Saccharomyces cerevisiae S288C: one gene and its partner. The protein of the gene in region 2 interacts with the protein of the main gene of each other region in a pairwise test. Each region holds a gene or a part of one and is shown on either strand. Other genes may lie near its edges.

Region 1 (3,270 bases), on a different chromosome or scaffold from region 2:
GCACCAAGTATTGCTATTTATTCTGTTGAATCCTTGGATATAACAGATAACAAATTTAAGGAAAGAAGTTTGATAGATGATTTGAATAAGACATTTCCCTCTTTGAAAAATATCCATCTGAGTGGCAACGAATTCAACTACAACGGAAATTATATTAACGTCGAAGAACAGGCTACTTTTTATGAAGTACTGGCTAGGTTTGATCGTGTGATGGTATTGAATGGATCAATATGTGATGTAAAAACAAGAAGAGAGGCTGAGATGTTTTTTGTTTCCAAGGTAATGAATAACGAATTGAGCTATGACACCAATCTGCCGCGTTGGTCAAGCCTCATAAAGTCGTATGAAATCGATATGAGTAAGCTAAGTTTCAACAATGAAAGAGAAACACGGCAATCTCTTGTCTTAAAAATAAAGATAAGAGCTGGCAAGAAGCCGAGTAGTGATTTAGATTATTGGGTCCTTCCCAGTTTTACAGTAAGGTACGTTAAGAGTGTAATATGTCGAAAGCTAAACTTTGACATACTGAATGTTAAGTTATTTCATGAAAATTCTGAAGGGATGATAAACGAAATAAAGTATAATTTTCGCCCCATTTCAGATTTTAATGTTGTGAACGGAGATATTATTCATGTTTCGTCTCCAGTAAATAACAAGAGCATTCAGAAGGTTAACAGCCCATCGTAATCACAGTATATAGTTAATCTTGGCTAGTTGCATATTTAAAAATCAGGAAACAGCCTTTTAGATTGTAAGCGGATGTTATTCTAATTTTTTCTTAGTTTCTTTATTTTATTATGTAGCAGATGGATAGTAATATAGTGTTGACGGCTCCGTTTGTTACTCAACGCTGAAGTTCCATAAGGGGTCGCCCAAATGGTGAATCAATTCTATGGAATGACCTTTGTTCACTGATTTAATTTCTTCAGTACCCATCATCAATTCACCAATAGCCAATGCATTCTCTTTATTTTCGGCATTGATGACTACAATCGTACCTTTCTCGTAACCAGGAGCAGGTGGTAAGTCGGCACCCGCAGAAGTTAGGCCAGGGCACATGATATTAGCACCTGAGAGAACGAATTTAATAGCACCTCTATCAACCTGAACAGTGGGATAAGCCTCTGGAAATTTGTGTACTAATTTCAGGCTTGGAATCAGTTCATCGAATTTTTGAAAAAAAAGAACTTCACCATCGACGGAATACAATTGGATCTTATCTTCACATTTAATCAACTCGATTTGACTCTTCTTAGGAATTAATTCATCAATAACATCTTCTATTTTGGGGTACTGCTTGACCAATTTGGCCTTTAACGTTCTTTGAATTGAAGATTTGACCTTTGAACGTGAATGGACATCTTCTCTTGTGAATCTATCGATGATGATGTTAGTAATTGCTTACTGAGTCAAAAGTGTACACTAACCCCTGGTAAAACCAGTGAATTACGCAATATTCATTCTCATGTTAGACATACTTCTTAAACATTTCCTCTCTGCTGTTTTAGTTTACCGTCTTTGTCTTTTATATGGTTTTACATAAGGTTATAGCAAAATCAAGTTTTTTCACACAATAATTTTTCAGATAATTAAATTTTTCGTCATTTTTACACCTACAAATACAAAGCATAAGAGTAAGGTAACTATGAATTTAGTGGAAAATGACCATAATGATAATTATCAATAGATAAAATTATGGTTTTTGAGGTGAAGTTGAGGTCTCGTTTATAGACGGCACTGTCAGGTAATTGGTCAACTCTCCTATACAAAGTTTACTGTATCGGGTGAAAAGAAAGACACACAAGAAGGAGAACACTCATGCCTACCATTTTAGTTGCCATTTCTGTATTACTTACAATTCCAGCTTCTATAACGTGAACTCACATTAGAGAATTCGGTGAAAAAGAAAAGAAAAATATGGTTGGGCCCTCAATTGAATGTTTCAGTCCGGTATCCCTAACCTATTTTTTGATATTACTTCCAAAGAAAAATAAACAGTCCCTTTGAAAGAATGAATATCGGTAATGAAAAAAGGTATTCCAAAAATTCCCTACATAGTCTTGAAGTATTCAAAAGCGAACACCGAATTGACCATGAGGAGACGGTCTGGTTTATAATTAAATTTCAACCAGCAAAAACACAATCTCGGACGAATCCTCACTGATATGCGTATTTCCCGTGCATAAGGATGGAGTATTAAGGAAGGAAGTGAAAGAAAAGAAAATGCATTAAACGTAAGTAACAATAGTAATTGGACAATGAAGCTAACTAATATTCTGTTCCTTTTATATTCAGAAAAAAAAATTCGAAAACTAATATATCATTTTACACGATATTTGAAATTGAAATTTATCAAAATATTTACTTAATTAGTCTAAATATGTAATATGAAGCGACAATGCAGAGGTTACTTAGGCATTCTTGTATTCCTCGAACGCACTTATGATATCGTTCTTCGTGAAGCGTATGTTTGTCCCTCTATAGTGTTTATCAATTACAGTGTATAGTTTCAAGTATAGTGAGACGGTTTGACCTTGAATGCACGACCACAACTTATCGCATAGGACGTTGTTTATGGCATTTTCTTGGTGGTAACCGAAGTCATTTACCATATGAGTGTGCAGCCTTTTTACTAGAGTTTCAATTTCATGGGAAGTGTATGCTAAAAGAATGTTCTCTAGGTTCTGCCTGCTATATGCGGCCCATCTTGAAGGATTGGTCATGTTCACATTGTTGGTATTTTCAATGATGTTGCTCACACCATAAACAAAGGCTGTTAGTTTAGGCATAGTATCGCGGAGTAGAAAGGAAGCATAAGATTCTTTTTCCACATCGAAAACTTTCTTAACGTTTTGCAATGACGTATCAAATATACCATCCTTATTGAAGTTTAACATGGAAAGCATTTCAGTTAGCCAGTTACTGTTCACTAGGAGAGAAATAGTTTCCATATAGTCATTATTTAAAGCAGCAGTATCTGAAAGGTTTGGATTAATGCTTGAATTAACTTCTTTGTGAGTTATCGATCGTGTGGCAGCTATGCTTAGCTTCCTGAAGCTCGAATTCATTAATTCGATGGACTCGTAGCCTTCATCGGTATCTTTAATATCCATAGACCTCTTAGCAAATTGGAACAAATCTTCTGAATTCTTCAAGCCTACTGGTAAATCAAGTATACCTGGAAGAATTTCTCCATTGGTGGTTGCGTTAGAAATTCTTTCGAAGTGCAAAACCTGCTCTTCTACATTATCAGACCACACTTGTTTTATT
Region 2 (3,323 bases):
AGCCACTCGAAGGAGGAAACGCTTTCTTATCCTCGGAATTTGGCTCAGGGTCCTTCGAAGAATCCGTTGTTTGACCATCCATGTCTGGCACACCTTGTGAGACAGCATCACCGACCACGCTGGAAAGGTCATGTATATCGTTGCGTCTGCAATATTCCTCGTCCGCTTCCATATTATTATATGCTGTTGGTTCTATATCATCTAGAGATGAAGTCATAACTATACTTACTTACGGCTGGATTGAGTTGTGTTTTGTACGCCTATGGTCAACAACAAATTTTGCAGTTTTTCGGTTGCAAATAATTTGAATAGGCAATGGGGACTATATTTATTGTCCTACTACGAAGGTTTCAGAGAAGGAACGGCGCAGGCGCACGAGGGCCGGCTGCACAGTATATATGAGCGACGATCTCAAGAACGATATAGGGTTTGACTATCTAACCTACACGCCTGGTTACCAAGTAAAAAGTCCTTTTCTCCCAGAACGGTGCTATTACATATTTATGGATTGCTTACTTGGCAGCTCCTTCTGCAGCAGGCTTTTTCTTCTTCTTAGCATCGATGGTTTCCACTTTGACGTCCTTTAGGCCTTTTTCTTCCAGCAAGGAATGTATGTAAGTTTCCACTTCATCCATCACGTCACCTTGAATGACAACTTCTTCTTTTTTCTCTGCATTTTTCGAGACTGAGCACCCTGTGGCGAACCTAGACGCAAATGTCTTGGCTAGCTTTTTCATGTCGATGTCGAAAACTTCCAGCCCAGAGATAGCGACGATAAACTTTCTCTTGGTCCTAGCTTCTCTTTTAATGATCACTTTCGATGACAGCTTCTTAGCTAATTCTCTTTGTTCCCTGTTTTCCTGTTTTTTTTGAATTTTCAGCAAGTCCTTTTCCAACTTTTCCTCTCTAGCTTCGCCAATACTGGATTCAGCCAGTTTGTTGGTCACGGCTTCCACCTCTTGCGTATTATCGTCAGTACCGTATAGCTTTGCATAAAGGTCTGCGTGGTTTTCAGATAACCAAACTTTACAACGCTTTAATTTTCCTGAAAACTCGCAGTACTCTGGTGGGTAGGAGCAAATTCCACAATAGATGACTTCTCTTAACATTTTATGCAATATGCTTTTCTTTAGTTTAGCTCTTGAACTGTTTCCTTGGGGTGATTTTATCCAGTAGGAATTAATAATTTTTTCACTCACACATCACATCAAGTATCTTTTTCCTTTTTTTTTTCAGCTTTTTTCTCTTTTGGTGGTGCGCTTTTGCATTTTTTTTTTCATATTTACACATTCATTATATGAGTAGATTTATAGAATTGATGTACATGGTGCAAGTTCACGTCAGTCAGTTGTTCTTTTTGTTGGAAACTGTGGGTTGCGTCGGTATCTTAATATCAGTAATAAATTGACCCAGTAGCCACACATTGGTGACGAAAAATAACACGCTTGCAATAAATAGTCCAGGATAGAATACATTCTTGCCTTCGAATTCCAAATAGTAACCTTGGCTTAACCAAATTCCCTGCGTTCCTACCCAAAGCGTGGCCATTAAAAGCCCCTTCTTCCAACCAATGTGCGTTCTTGAGAGGTAAAATGGTAGAAAGATCAGGTACCAAACAAAATATTGCGATGTGCACACTTTATTATATGTCACAAATGCGAACGTCTGCACAAATAAAACCCTCAATAGGTTATCGAATGTGGGATTCCACCATTCAAGACATCCAGTTACTAAAACAAGCAGCAATTGAGGCACAAATGCGTACCTTGAGAGATTGGACTCACCATTTTCCTTATTTGCAGAATCTAAATACAATAGCATGTTCCACACTGAAAAATTGTGTCTGTGATCCGTTCTGTATAAGTGGTACAAGTATGCCTGATCCAGAAACTCGTATCCGTATATCTTGTACATTGCCCAACCACATCCAAGCAAAGTTGTTAGAGTACTCAAACCGATATTGAGTAGCGATGTAAGTTGTGTTCGTGGACCCTGGTTTCTTTTATTGTAGTATATAAAAATTGCTATTGGGATACAATATATGATTGGATATATTTTGAAATGGATAGAAAGACCATATAAGATTCCAGCTAGGGTGTATCTACTCTTTTGTAGAAAAAAAAGCGTGAACATGATCAAACAGCAAAGCACGCTTTCAGCGTTTCCCCTTGTACTGATGGTGATAACCATCGGATTCAATAGCCAAATGCTTTCCAATATTAAAGCTCTTTTTCTGGAGATGGCCTGGTTCAAAAGCTTCATTATAATGAGCCCAGTAACCAAATCGAAAATAACAAATATGACCTTCCCCAAATGAAACCATCCAAAATAATGATTAGGCACTAGCAGCCAACTTAGTAGCGGTGTGTAACGATATGTATCCCTTGCATAAGGTGATTTGCCTTCGTATACATATTTAGCAGCATCATGAAACACAAAATAGTCGATATCAGTGTACCTCACTTTGAAATTAGCGTCCTGGTAAATGCCAAAAAGAAAAAATCCGACTCTTACCAAGAATGACAGTACAGTCAAGCCCCATTCTTCGCCAGTCATCTTTCAACTTTATCACCTTTTACCTTGCTTGTCAGTTGTTGACTTTTTTATGTATATATATTGTGTTTTTTTTTGTCAAGTTCTTACCAACTATTAAAGTTTCTTTTATTATTATCGGAGCCTGTAAAAGAGCTCCACATGTTTCGGTTTACCTCTTGAAAATTGATTGCGAACATAACGAGTCAAGCATGGCAGCAGGTGGTGAACTTAGTTATGAAGAGTTGCTGGATCACATTCTGAATAACAAGCCTATACCTAATATTGTGGAGGTGCCCAATGTTACGCTGGATGAGGGTTTAGCTAGTACTCCTTCATTGAGGCCAAGACCTAGGCCTTGGGAAGGTCAGCTGCAGCATCAATCTCATCAAGGATCATTAGACAAACCCAATATATCTCTGGACATTGATCAAGAAAGCCTAGAAGGCATGACCTCATTAACAAGGCTGTCTGAATGTTACGATATACAGTCTAAGTTACAGATTAATGACAGTGACAACGATAATGATGACAATAACAATGATAACAATAAAGGCGATGGCAATGATGACGACAATAATACAGTAACAGCAAATCCAACAGCTAGGTAAATTATTCACCCAACAGGTATGTAAAAAAATGCATTTATATATTTATATATAGTACTATTATCTTCCCTTTTCTACTTAAATTTTATATCGCTCATTCATACTTAATCATAGACCTGCCCTTTTTGCGTTTAAAAGAATACAAAGGCACATGCATCTCCTTCTTTTGTCTGCATAATGTTT

The links.
Region 1: the proteins of TMA22 (region 2) and TMA20 interact in binary tests that used the Saccharomyces cerevisiae proteins (3 or more experiments, as listed by UniProt).

Annotation. Positions count from the first base shown.
Region 1 is NC_001137.3:165,397-168,666, forward strand, and holds TMA20 (translation machinery-associated protein 20), read right to left. Parts: upstream 1,490-3,270; coding exon 1,479-1,489; intron 1,376-1,478; coding exon 841-1,375; downstream 1-840. Other genes in the region: PAC2 (Pac2p), read left to right, coding at 1-687; GTP-Rho binding exocyst subunit SEC3, read right to left, coding at 2,412-3,270. UniProt on the Saccharomyces cerevisiae protein: Involved in translation.
Region 2 is NC_001142.9:459,615-462,937, reverse strand, and holds TMA22 (Tma22p), read right to left. Parts: upstream 1,110-3,323; coding exon 513-1,109; downstream 1-512. Other genes in the region: YJR015W (uncharacterized protein), read right to left, coding at 1-217; GPI14 (glycosylphosphatidylinositol-alpha 1,4 mannosyltransferase I), read right to left, coding at 1,345-2,556; YJR012C (uncharacterized protein), read left to right, coding at 2,745-3,143.